Astyanax mexicanus: one gene and its partner. The protein of the gene in region 1 purifies or fractionates together with the protein of each later gene. This does not show direct contact. Links are inferred from orthologs where the notes say so. Each region holds a gene or a part of one and is shown on either strand. Other genes may lie near its edges.

Region 1 (7,410 bases):
ATGGTTTCATTGGCTTAAGAGTTTACTGTGGCCAGCTGCTTTTTTAACATCACCTCCTTGTTTCTACACTAAGAGTTCATTTTATCAGCTCCACCTACCATATATAAAACATTTTAGTTCTACAAATACAGGCTTTGGTCCTGCTTTTATGCTTCCCTGTGTACTTTATATCCTCCTTTTACCCTGTTTTTCAATATTCAGGGCCCCACTGAACCACCACAGGCAGAATGCTGTGGGTAGCATTCTGTGGGCAGCATCCTGTAATCACTGACAAGGATGAGCAGCTAGACAGGGGTGTCCAACAGAGTGGGCAGTTAGGGGGACACAGCGTTTAAAACCTCCAGCAGCACTGCTGTGCCTGACCCACTTGTAACAGCACACCTCCACCATATCAGTGTCAATGGAGTGTTGATAATGGCCCACCCACATAAATCCTGCTTTGTGGTGGTCCTGAAGCATTAGGTGAGAGAAACAGAAAGAATACAGTCTATAACTGTACCAGTACAAGTAAGTAGTTGAAGTAGTTTGCATATCTTTACAGATGTATTATATATACTTTATATTTTACTTTACTTTTACTCCAAGACATTATGCAAACATTACTTTTGGCCAATGTGTGCATAAGAACATAGTCATGATCTTGATACAAGCAATTTTGCAGACATTAAATTTTTTATTTTATTTTTGCCACTGAAAATCGAGGTTAGATCCAAATTAGCAAATATAGGCTTACCAACATGATGCAGACTACGAAATGACGAAACAAGTTCAGTGGTTGCCTCATTTTTTTACACACAAAAGTACACAGATAACGGTTTACTGTAGAAAACGACTCTAAGAAAAACAGTGTTGTTATAAAACTGTATACATGGATAATTCGATAATTCACTTACATTAAATTAATTAAACCTAAATGTGACCAAAATAGTGTTTCAAGTTAGGTTACCAAAAAGCAGATGCCAAGCTAAGTTAATGCAAGCTAGCTAACGATAACTTAATTTGAGTAATATAAAAGTGGCAAAGCACACTGTTACTAAAGAAACTTCGTTTTCCCAAGTATGACCATTGCAAGGCAAGTTAATGACACTTTTAAAAAATAGTTTATTGCCTTCCAAAGTAGCTAGCTAGCTAATTAGCTATGTGTATATTGCCATCTGATGTGAAAAGGCAGTTATATTTGGCTTACAAAATCATGTTTTTAAATAAATATATAATAAATATCCTATAATAAGCTAGTAGAGTGTGAATGTCTGTGGTGGGAAAGCCTTAATTACTTTTCCACTGGAGCAAGGTTATTTAATGTCTCAGGCTTAATTACCTTTTTAGCTATATTAATTATTCAAATCAGACAGCCAAAGAGCAGAGTTTGTTCATTAATCGGTTCACGAGTTGATTTAGAAATCGATTTATGAGTCGTTTCGATATGTGTGCAAATCGAATTCAGCGATTTAAATCACTGATGTGAATGTTTTGTTATATCTGTGGTTTATTTGATGTCCTGAACATGTGATGAACATTAATTGCTTGTTTATTTTCAGGTTTAGTTGATTTGTTTAATGATTGGTTTTATTTTAAAGGTAGTCTATTTCTACCTTTTAAATTAAATAGTTTAAAAAATGATGCAGTTTATGTAAATGCCACGGGAATATTGGGATTTGGTAAAGCGAATTTAGAAACAAATTTAGAAAAGAATTTACTGCTGAAGCTTTTTTGAGAGAGGAGTGGAGGGATCTATAATATCTCTGTTAACTTTAACAGATTTGACGAGAGGTATAACTACTTAATTACTGTAATCTTAATGTAAATTTTATGAGCCTGTTACATAGTTTGTACAAAAAAAAAATAGGTGTTTATTTTGATGTGAGCAGACGTAAAACATATTAACAAACATACTCAAAGTATGAATACAGTAATGAAATACTTTTAAAAGTCTGTTTTTAAGGCCTGAGTCTGAGTAGTATCCTGAATAAGCTATGTGGTTGTTTGGTTTATGGGATGTATCATGTCGTACTGTTGTAAAATGACTGTTTTTGCTATTGTAATATGAGACATTAGAGACTCTACTGCTGTATGTATTGCTACTCATTCATCCAATAATTTGATCAAGTGGCAGCAGTGCACATAATCATGCAGATACAAGTCAGCTGCTTTAGGAAATCTATGGTAGGTATGGTTGAAGTCTTTTTTCTTGGTCAGACTAGACTATTTGATCCAGAGGCTTTAGACTACTTAATTTTGGAGGTTAAATGTCAACTTTGCATTACAAACTGAATTGTATATATTGTATAAAGTTCACTTGTTCATTTGAAGCTGTAGATATATACATTATATACACTCATTGATTTGAAGGGCCCCTATATGTGAATTGTATGCCCTGCATACTCAACACACCCCCTCTGCACTTTTGAAAGGACTTGTTAATCAGTTGATTAGTTGATTCAGGTGTGTTGGGAACAGGGTAAGCACTAAAATGGGCAGGGCAAAGAGCTTCTAGGGTTGAGAAATCCTGCCCCAAGCGGCTATTCCACTTGAAAAAGAAACAGTCCTGCTGAAAGAGAATAGAAGATAGATATTTTTTTATAGATATTGTTGTCTTTTTACCTTTCAAAAAATATGACAGGTCCTTAATTCATTGCAATGTTCTCTGTGTAATTTCAGCACAATAACTGAACAGTAGAGGGCGCACACGCACTTTAGTTTGTTTAGTGTTTCATTTACAGAGCTGTACTTCCTTACATCTAAAAGTTCACAATAAATTTTGAACTTTGTAAATTAAATCTCCAAATTAAATATTCGAATTTCATTCCCATAAACATATTAGAAAATAACAAAACAACTAACTTAAATATATTACCAGGCTGCATAAAACCTGAAATGGGAAAAACCAAATTTCTTGAAATTAAATAGTAAGACTTATAAAAAAAATAATTTATTCTTACTAGTAAAAATTAAGTGAGGTATTTCCTAAAAAATATAATTTAAAAGATCATTTCACTTTTTCTCTTTTTTTTACTCTGTAGTTATTATCTGTATATATAAGTTTTTAATTGAATCTATAACAATAATAGAATTCAACTATTGTGAAAACAGAAATAAGAGAATCAGCAGTCAGACACTAATAAAATACAAAAACGAAAAGAAGATAAGGCAGGCATAGCCAATAACAAAAAATATTTTAAAAAATTAAAAACAATAAAAAAAATGCAAAAAATTTAAGAGAATATCTCCCTAATCCATACAATAAGAGCTAAGACTACAATAAAAACTGTAACAAAATTTAGATATTTATAATTGGATTTTGTACTTTTCAATTTTTTTATGTGATCCCTAAATTAAAAGGAGCGGAATAATCATGACTCACTGAATTTATTTTACGTCTTATTTTTTATTTATTAAAAATTTAAACATGTACATACATAGCACTGTATAGCGTTTCATCGTAATTGACACCTATAGGATATAGTAATATAATTTTCCTGGGAGAAATACATGATTTAGAAATATGCACTATTCACAATATTCACAGCTTTTTTTTTGAGAGAGAATAATATTTTTATGTCTTTTTTTAGTGTCTTAAAATTTTAAAATGAAAACATTTTTTCAGCTGTAAACCGAAGACTTGATAACACATATTACATTTGCACAAATTTTTAATAGAAAGAATTAGTTAAATAAGAGTAAAATAAGGTAAATATTTCCTTAAAAAGAGGATTTAAAAGATTTTTTTTTTATTTTTAAAAGACTTTTTTTTTTAAATCTGTAGTTATTATCTGTACATTTATTTTTTATTTAAGCTATTACAATAGTAGATAATTGAGTTAAATAGAGTTAAAACATTTTGAAAACAGAAGTAATAGAATCAGCAGACAGACACACATTTTTGAAAGCATAATAGATTTTTATGCAATGTCTTAAAATGATAGGATAAAACACCTTTTATAATAGAAATATCAGTTAAAGAGTAAAATAAGAGTAAAATAAGGAAAGGTATATTTAAATGTATATATTTAAATAAATATTTAAATTTATATTTAAATAAATATTTCCTTTAAAAGAGGATTTAAAAGATTAAAGATGTTTAAGATGTTAAAAGCTTTTTTCTTTTTAAAATCTGTAGTTATTATCTTCTGTATATATATATATATATATATATATATATATATATTTTTTTTTTTTTTTTAAGTAATTACAATGACAGAACATTTTAAAAACAAAAATAAGAGAATCAGCAGCCAGATTTTATGTTATATTTAGCTTCTTTTTAGAATATATTAAACGTCTTAAATTGATCGGATAAACAACGTTTACTTCAGATGTGAATTAAAGACTCGTCCAGTCCGCGATTCGGTTCTCTCTAAAGAATCGGTTCATTAAACCTCCTCGCCGCGCGCAGGAATATGACGTCATTTAAAGTTTACATGTGCGGCGTGACCGAAAATGGCTGCTGGCGGAGAACAGCAGCAGCAAGCTCACCGACCCGGGCTTTACAAACAGAAAAACAAGCAGCACAAGCATGGCAAACACCGGACTAAAGGAGAGATCGAGCGGGAGAACAAGGGTGAGCTCGGGGCTTCAGTTCAGAGGGTTATTCTGGGGTTTAGACACTCCGGCGGAGCAGCATGGCTAACCTGCGACTAACACGTGTCTGGAGTTCAGGCATTTCTTACAGACCAGAGTAGAGAACATGGCTAACTTAGCTGGTTACAGCAGACACAGTTCATGGGATATGGTAGTGTCCATAACTATATTTTATCATATCTGCATTGTAGCAGTTTGAGCTTACAAACAGTCAGATAGCTTACCAGGTTAGCTATCTTGCTGTTTAACTACAAGGGCTGTTGTGTGGCAGCTCTGCTGTTGAATCCCAGAGACAGCTGGCCTGTTTTCTGGCCTGTAATTGAGTAAATGCAGTATCTGAACAGATGATTTTAAGTAGGGACTCAGGGAACAGTTTTCCCAGACAGGCATTAAGCCTGGCCCTAAAGAACCCATGGTGACATAAGATTTAAAGATATAAAGATTTTTTATTAAAATTAAAATGTAGTCTGTAACTAGGCTTAATCCCTGTCCCGGGAACTTACCGTGTAAGATTAATCTCTTAACACTGGCCTCAAATGATCCACTGTCCTACAACTCAGTAAGGACTTGTTAATAAGCAGATTACTTTGATCAGGTATGAAGAAATACTGTTTTATTTAAGCTGATTTTCAAAAATGATTTCATCCATCAGGCAGAGTTGCTGTCATGGCTCTGTCGAAAAAGCAGAGAAGAGAGTTAAAGAAGTTGGACCGTAGACATAAAGCCAACCAGCTGAGGCGCAACAAGAAGGACATGGTAAGAAAGTAATGAGATTCATCCTTTAAACTTCAAGTAAAAGTGTTTGTTATTAATGCTGTTTTTGTATTTTACAAGGTGCTGAACGAGAAGCGTCGTTTGGGCAGTAGAGATGGCCCACCTCACCTGGTGGCTGTCGTTTCCCTGCATGCTGCTGTGGACGCTGGAGCTGTGACGCAGATACTGAGAGGAGAGGGGATTGGAGGGGTGCTGCATGAAGACCAAGGAGTCAAAGGGGCTAAGGACAGTTTTGGCCTGGTCCTTCCTCGTTTCAAACAGAGATTTACTTTCTACCGCTCAGATACAGGTAACCCGTGGTTGTATAACTGCAAAAGAATGTTTGACTTGTTAAAAGAATAACCATATTTTACGCCTAAACTTGATCACACGTGTTGCACGATCCGAGTTTTAATGTTATATGTCTTTTATTTTTAAGTAGTTATGTGACAACAAAAGCAAAGGTTCAGACATGCCAAATGTCCATTTACCCAAAGAATGCTGCGCTGAGATGCAAGATACTCATTTGAGGCCTCCTGCAGTGAATATGGGAGTGATTGATTGTTCAGACAGTGAGCTCTAACCAGATGTCACCCGTCACCTGTACCATAAGTACCACTATTTGCTATTTATAGGTATATGTTTGAGTAAAATGAACATTGTTGTTTTGATCTGTAAACTACGGACAACATTTCTCCCAAATAAAAATATTGTCATTTAGAGCTTTTATTTGCAGAAAATGAGAAATGGCTTAAATAACAAAAAATAGGCAGAGCTTTCAGACCTCAGATAATACAAAGAAAACAAGTTCATATGCATAAAGTTTTAAGAGTTCAGAAATCAATATTTGAAGGAATAACCCTGGTTTTTAATCTCAATTTTATGCATGTTGGCATGTTCTCCTCCACCAGTCTTACACACTGCTTTTGAATAACTTTTGTGTCACTCCTGGTGCAAAAATTCAAGCAGTTCAGTTTGGTTTGATGGTTGTGATCACCCATCTTCCTCTTGATTATATTCCAGAGTTTTTTTATTTTATTTAGTGAAATCAAAGAAACATCATTTTTAAGTGCTCTCATATTTTTCAGAGCTGGTCATACAGAGCTGGTCATACATGACTATTGGGATTTTGGTGTATGTTAAATGGAAAAACACTGCCACACCCTTACTGTTACCATATCAGAGCAGAGTCTAGTATCAGTATTTATGGTTGAAAAGGCAAAACTACTGTACTCTGCTCAATTTTATTATCATTTGTATTATTATGTAATTATTGTAATCATTTAAAATGTGAAATGCAGTAATTCTGTATTAATTGCTTAATGGTTGCTAGCCTTTAATTTGTAATGATATTTCACTGTTTTTAGCTGATCTGCACTCTCTTCTGGATGTGGCGAAGGTGGCGGACAGTCTGGTCTTTGTGCTGGAGTCCACTGAGGGCTGGGACAGTTATGGAGATTACTGTCTGTCCTGTCTTTTTGCACAGGGATTACCAAGTCATGGTGAGTTAAAAGTCGGAGTCAGAGACTGTTTTTCAGCATTTTTCCTGCCTTATTTATTTTTAACATTACATAAATAACAGAGTTTGTTTTTTGGCAAGTCTGCATGTGCTTAGTGCTGTCTTCATTATTCAGCATTGGTTGATGAGGGAGGGGACGTTTTAAACATCAGTGTGCTCAGTTTGCCAAATCGGATCTGAGCAAAGAGTCCAAAGTGATTTAATGCACCTTGTAATGTGACCTTAGTCCTGGTACCTCTTTCTCTTTGAGCTGTATTTAGGTGTGGGATGTATGACGTCAAACACTACATGGCACTTCTTTGTCTTGCACCAGACTGCCTGCCAAAAATGCCATTGGTTTTTTGAAACAGGAAGATTCCCAGATCTTTGGATTGTTCTCTTTAGCTGTTTCTCAGAACAGGAAAAAAAAAAAAAAACTTTCTGTGATTCAACTTTCAGCAGTTGCACTTCAAATTGTTAGAGCAGCTTACTAGTAGAGGCTTTTAAGTGTTGATTTTTAAAACTCCTTAACTTATTTTTCATTCTAATTTTTAATTTTGCATTCTGTTACAGATGTTTGT
Region 2 (6,841 bases), on another chromosome or scaffold:
ACTCCCTGAATATACTGAATATAGACCAGGTTATTCCATCAATGGATTTTTTCTTCCCTGTTGACACGGCCATATTCCAAGATGACAATGTCAGGAATCATGGGTCTGGAATTGTGAAAGAGTGATTAGTGACTACAAAACCAGACAGTTTAGTGAAACGTCTTTTCAGCAGACTGTTTAAGAACAGCATGTTTCATGTTCTGAGGCCATGGTGCCAATAAACAGCAGCAGCAGGAAGCTTCACTACTGAACTAATAAACACATCTTTAGAGCAGACATGCCCACTCAAACCTGAACTGACCAATCAGCTCCTTCACACGGGTATGAGAATAGACCTGACACAGTTTAATCTCAGATTTAAAGAAAAAGCACCAGTAAAAATCAAACTGCACTTTTTTAAGCTGTACTTGTTTACTTTTTTTAAGCATTTTAGATGCACTTTATCCAAAAGCAACACTGTATTTTTGTGGCCCTTTGTTTTTAGGCTACTTGAAGTGGGGGAAATGTTTTTATTTATTTATTTATTTTTAGAATGAATTTATGTCATTTGAATTGCCTTACAGTTTGTCTTAGAAATGTCTTTTTGTTATTGACTTATGAGATGAAAAAAAAGTATATTACAGTGGTGTGAAAAACTATTTGCCCCCATACAGATTTCTTTTGTTTTTGCACTTCTGTCATACTTTCATTTTTCAGATTATCAAACAAACTTTAATGTCAGACAAATATAACCTGAATAAATATAAAAGCACTTTTTAGCTGATGATTTTTTTAGCTTCATGATTGAGACGCTGTGGGTGATCTTAAACAGGACGTTTATGCTGGAAAATCCTCCAGTATGGCTTTTTCACACAGGGCTAGATTGGTTTGTATGTTCACAGAAAATGCATGTATACAGCTCTTTAACTCTTGTTTTTGTTTCTGTTCTTTGTTCAGTACAACCTCACCATCAGCAGCAGCTGTAGAAGAGGAGGACTGGCTTTAAAAGGAGGCCTGCTCCTCAACCCTTCTGGCCCCACCCATGACCGACTGTCCAACCAGTCCTTTTCCTTCTCCTTTTCTAAATATCCAGTGAGAAGGCCACTAAAACTTCAATTGTGCTGCACTTCTGCTATTCTCCACCAATAATTAATGCTAATGAGCAAAGTTGCAGTGAACAGACGTGGGTTTTTTAACAAGCGTTTTAACAAGACAGGGACTGTTTTCATGTCATAACAGCAACGGTATGAGTGAAAATCTAAGTCAAGAAACTGGAACTTACATTTTGTCTGCACCTTCTAAGTTAACAAAAATTCTTCCAACCTATTGACAGTATTAACTTTACTGTTAAATGCTGCTGCTACTGCTGCGTTCGAGAACTTGGGGTAACGGAAAGCAAAGAAAAAATATATATACAGTATATATATATATTCTAACCAAACTAAACAAAACGGGAACTTCCAGTGATGAAAAACATTTGGCAAAAAAAAAAGGCAGATTAATTATTTATTTAACTAATCAAAACATGAGCCCCATTACACTTGACCGTTATAAAACTGTTAAGTTAAGGACTTTTACTTTGTAGATAATATAAATGAATAAAAAAATTTAAAAACATTAAAAAAAGTTTTAAAAACTGAAGCTGTCTTGCGTTTTGTCATTATTTTTGAACATCGTCTGTGGTTTTGACACAAAATTGAGATGCATGGCCCAAATTTGATTTTTTTTAAGTCATATCTGACACAGGTATGTTGTTTGTGTTGCTGTGTGAAGAGAATTGGATCTGACTTTTTCAGTTCTGATTTAAGCCACTGAAATATGGTATGTTCATGTTACTTTATTTTGATTATTCAACTTTATATAGAAATTTCTAAAAAAAAAAAAATGTACCACTACATTGATGTATTACACACAGATTGATCTATTGTAAGCGTTTGTTTCTTTTAATGTTGATGATTTCTGGCTCACAGTCAATGAAAACCCAATAATCAGTAAATATCAGAAAATTTTAATATTATTTTGTGCCAGTTTGCCTGCTGGACAATGAAATCTGCATCTCCATTAAAGTTGTCAGCAGAGGGAAGCATGAAGTGCTGTAAAATGTTCTGGTAGAAGCTGCGCTGACTTTGGACTTTAGTTATAATATATTTGACCAACACCAGCAGATGACATGACTCTGCAGACCAGAGACATCAGATAATAAAATAGTTGTTTTTTTTCCTTCTTCTACTTTAATGTGAAAGGACTCATATGTCAATGAAGGAGTTTTGTGTCTAGAAGGAATACCGAAGATTACAGAATGCTACATCTTTGTGTTCTTTTAAAACCACATTAAACCAAGGAAGCTTCAACAACACATTAGGGAATTAACATGATATTAAGCATTGATAATCTTTATAGAAATTTAGAACACTGTGTATCTACTTCTGTGTCAAGCAGCAAAATATTGTAACATGACATGTTTGATTTAAAGTGACTTTGCACGTCCTGCGATGTGACTATTGCACGTGCACACATCGCGATGACTACACTTAAACAATATATCGTGCAGTCCTAGCATTCAGCTCTCATCTCTGTCTGACCTCTGTATTGAGTAATAGTGAGAGGACTGGGCCCCCAGTGCTCCTCTAAATCCACCACTAGAGGACCTCCTACAACTATTTCCACAAACCTTCAGTTCAGGAGGTCTGAGTTCACACTTCACACGAGGACATTTAAACTCAAGTTGAGCAAAAGCTTTCCAACAATATGAAATTAATAAATATATAAAATGAATCTATAAGTGTGTATGAGGAATGAATGTATGAAAACTGCCCAGAAGTATTTTCCTTACTGCAATTAATTAAAAATACAGTAAAGTACAGGTGATGTTCCACAGCAGTACTGGCTAAATATACTGTGGACAGATGAAACCAAAATTTAGTTGTTTGGAAGTAACACACAACGCTGTGTGTAGAGTGAAAAAGGCACAGCACACCATCATCAAAACCTCACCCAACTGTGAAACATGGCGGCGGGGGCATCATGGTTTGGGGCTGCTTTGCTGGACGGCTTGCCGTCATCAACTAAAAAAATAATAATTCTCAATACATTTTACCAAGTTTACCAAGACATTTTGCAGGAAAACTTGTCCACTGACTGAAGCTCAAATGAGGATGGATGATGCAACAGGACAACGACCCAAAACAGAAGTAAATCAACAACCGAACGGCTTCAACAGAAAAAAAATACGCCTTCTGGAGAGTACTGACCTTAACCCAGTTTAGTTGCTGTGGCATCGTGACCTCAAGAGAGAAATTAACACCAGAAATCCCAAGAATATTTCTGAACTGAAACAGTTTAGTGAAGAGGAATGATCCAAAATTCCTCCTGACTGTTGTGCAGATCTGATCTGCAACTACAGGAAACGTTTGGTTTTGTCTGTTGGGAACCAAATGGGAGTCGGTAAAGAATCAGGTGAGATATTTACCTGTGCTATTGCAGGTCTGATCTGCAACTACAGGAAATGTTTGGTTGAAGTTTTTGCTGCCAAAGGAGGGTCAACCAGTTATTAAATCCAAAGATTCACATACTTTTTTCACCCTCACTGTGAATGTTAACATGTTGTGTTCAATAAAATAATGCAAACATATGTTGTGTGTGGTAATAGTTTACGCAGACTGTGTTTGTCTATTGTTGTGACTTAGATGAAGATCACAACACATTTAAGAACCAATTTATGTAGAACCAATTTATGTAGAACCAATTTATGTAGAGTTGAGAGATGAGTGAGAGTAGTGAGAGTACTCAGGGTACGCCAGTCCACTAGAGGGCGACTGTGAGCTAAGCCGCTGAGCGGCCGGGCTGCGGGACTCGTGTGTGTTCCTGCTGTTGACGGCGTGTTTGGGAGAGCGGAGGCCTAGCGGAGAGTTATTATTATCACTAATAATTCTGAGATCCGCTGTTCCTAATCTTTTGTCAGTATGGGGAAGCTGAATGTGGTGGTGCTGAGATATCTGTCCCGGGAGGATTTCAGGGTTCTGACCGCCGTGAGTTTAACTTTATTACAGACAGACTGTAGTGTTTAAACTGAACTGGTGAACTAGCCTCAGTCAGATGAGCTCAGATCTGTAATAATAATAATACAGTACAGTATTACTGTGCTGTAACTCAGTGTAGCTCAGTGTGTTGATCTGAATGTATTGTACTGTAATACAGGTGGAAATGGGGATGAAGAACCACGAGATCGTACCGATGAGCCTGATCTCCTCCATCGCCTCTCTGAGACACGGGGGCTGTAATAAAGTGCTGAGGGAGCTGGTTAAACACAAGCTCTTAGCTTATGAACGATCCAAAAGTAAGTACAGTTTATCTGTATATTCATTTATTTATCTGTATATATATTTATTTATTTATTTGTGTTTATTTTTATCTGTATATATTTTTATCCGTATATTTATTTATCCCTATAATTATTTATCTGACTATTTATTTATTCGTATGTATTTTTATCCGTATTTTTATTTATTTGATTATTTATTTATCTGAATATTTATTTATCTGTATATTTGTTTATCTGTATATTTTTATCTGTATATGTATATTTATTTATTCCTATATATTTTTATCTCTATATATTTTTATCCATATGTATTTTTATCCGTATATTTATCTGTATTTTAATGTATCCATATATTTATTTATCTGACTATTTATTTATTGGTGTATACTTTTAGCCCTATATATTTTTAGCCCTATATATTTTTATCCGTAAACTTATTTTTCCGTATATTTATTTATCCGCGTATTTATTTATCTGACTATTTATTTACCTATATATTTATTTATTTGATTATTTATTTATCTGAATATTTATTTATCTGTATATTTGTTTATCTATATATTTGTTAATCTGTATATTTTTTTATCTGTATATATATATATATATATATATATATATATATATATATATTTTATCTCTCTATATTTTTATCCCTATATTTATTTATCTGATTATTTATTTATCTGTATATTTATTTAACTGAACACTTATCTGTAAGATTGTCAGGTTGGTGAATTAAGTTAAATAAATTAATTTTATTTGTGTTTATAGCTGTGCAGGGCTACAGATTAAATTATGGGGGCTATGATTACCTGGCTCTGAAGACACTGTCATCCAGAGATGTCATTCTGTCTGTTGGGAACCAAATGGGAGTTGGTAAAGAATCAGGTGAGCAACTAACCTCATATCTGATCATTTCTACTGATGAGATATTCCAAGTTTTTAGTGACACATTCAGATACAAGAGCTTCTTGCATATAAATGGCAAGTGCAGTCTGTATTTTTTTGTTTCTAAACTGAAAGCAGAAGCATTTCTGAGTGGAGAAAGGATAAGATGTTGTGTTTAATGGTACCAGTGTGCTCAAAAGACCCTCCCTGCTAAGCCTAATATATTCATTCTAAAAACTGGGGCATCGGGTCACTTTCAGAGGGAGTTCTAAATGGCCACGTCATGCATCTTTATGCACTTATGTCACACGTTCAGCCTCTAAAAGAGGATCCGGCTCAGTTTTACTGAATGCGAGCGGCTGGTGGAGCAATGGAGACTTCAGAAGGGGAAACTCAGAGTTCAGTAGTTCATTCACTCAGTAAAAACAAAGAAACGAAGGAGTGAAGCAGGTTCTGAAGCCAAAAAGGAACACGATAGAGTCTGTGCTAACTGGGATTAATAGCGAATTTGCATTTGAACGGTTGATAAAGCTCCGTGACCTGAAAGGACTCTCTCTCTGACTGAACATAACCTGGAAGCTACATAACCTATGTCATCCTCTCTGAAAGAAGATCCCATCACACCCGCCCAGTTTACAATAATTCTTCTGCATGCTCTGTGCAATTACTCATTTTTACCAGAGAGGGCCCTAAATCCCCCAAATTCCAAATTTTACGGACATTAGCTTTAACAGCCGACATGCTGTTAAATGAGCATTTTTATTTTGCCGCTTTATTAAGAACAAAAAGAACAACGTTACTTTAAAATATTTTCTCTAAGCGTATTTTAGATAATATCAGCATTAGATTGACAAAGCGATAACTATGTTATCGACTTATCGTACGTAAATTTTTTTAACCGCAATAATTTTTGCCGACGTCGATAACAGCCATTGGGCCCTTGAGTTTACATGAGAACGAGTCGTGATGTGCGTCTCTCTCGCCGACAGCGACATCTATCGGTTAGGAAATGAGTGTAGCGGCAAGCGGAGCTCATCAGTGATGGCGTCTGCACACACGTGCGCACGCACACACAAACACACACACACACACACAGCAGAGAAAACTTGTGCTTGCGAACGTATTCGAGGACTTTCTCTTAACTAAACCACTTTAGAGAGCGTTAAGAAGGTTTTTTAGAAGTCCGGATGGTGCGGGAGTATTTTGGCTTTAAGCCAAATGAGCGAGGAGAACCATCGACGCGAATCAGTCGGTATGTTGACTTGTTTCAAAACAGTGGAAACGAAGCTGAGATCTCATTTAAAGCACAACCATACAGCCCAATTTTCCGAGCTGAATACTGAATATGAATATTGTACCCCAGAGAGATCCTGCCTCAAGCCCCACAGGGTGAACATTCTGGTGTTTCTTGCTCTGAATTTGTCTGACAGTTACTTTAAAAAATACATTTATAGCAAGAGCTTTGGGCTGCTGAACCATATCATATGGCCACTTGGTAAATGTTGTCACTATTTGTTGTTTAATATTTAGTGCAGTTTTCTCTGAGTCCAGAGTGCTTGTACTTTACTTGTTTTATTTATTATGGACATTAAAATATTTGTATATTGGAAGCCCAGTGTAAAAAAGTTTAACTGTAAACTGGTGTAATAGTAT

The links. Proteins that work in one complex are often made in the same cells at the same time.
Region 2: the proteins of tsr1 (region 1) and riok2 fractionate together in Homo sapiens (co-fractionation; 3 studies listed by BioGRID and IntAct, with this or other methods). This does not show direct contact. The link is inferred for Astyanax mexicanus from reciprocal best matches to the Homo sapiens genes TSR1 and RIOK2.

What each region holds. Positions count from the first base shown.
Region 1 is NC_064425.1:15,236,972-15,244,381, reverse strand, and holds the start of tsr1 (pre-rRNA-processing protein TSR1 homolog), read left to right. Parts: upstream 1-4,401; 5' UTR 4,402-4,437; coding exon 4,438-4,558; intron 4,559-5,230; coding exon 5,231-5,334; intron 5,335-5,412; coding exon 5,413-5,641; intron 5,642-6,698; coding exon 6,699-6,833; intron 6,834-7,410. UniProt on the Homo sapiens protein: Required during maturation of the 40S ribosomal subunit in the nucleolus.
Region 2 is NC_064429.1:14,110,297-14,117,137, forward strand, and holds the start of riok2 (serine/threonine-protein kinase RIO2), read left to right. Parts: upstream 1-3,814; 5' UTR 3,815-3,941; coding exon 3,942-4,007; intron 4,008-4,176; coding exon 4,177-4,315; intron 4,316-5,071; coding exon 5,072-5,188; intron 5,189-6,841. Other genes in the region: atxn2 (ataxin-2), read left to right, coding at 937-965. UniProt on the Homo sapiens protein: Serine/threonine-protein kinase involved in the final steps of cytoplasmic maturation of the 40S ribosomal subunit. Involved in export of the 40S pre-ribosome particles (pre-40S) from the nucleus to the cytoplasm.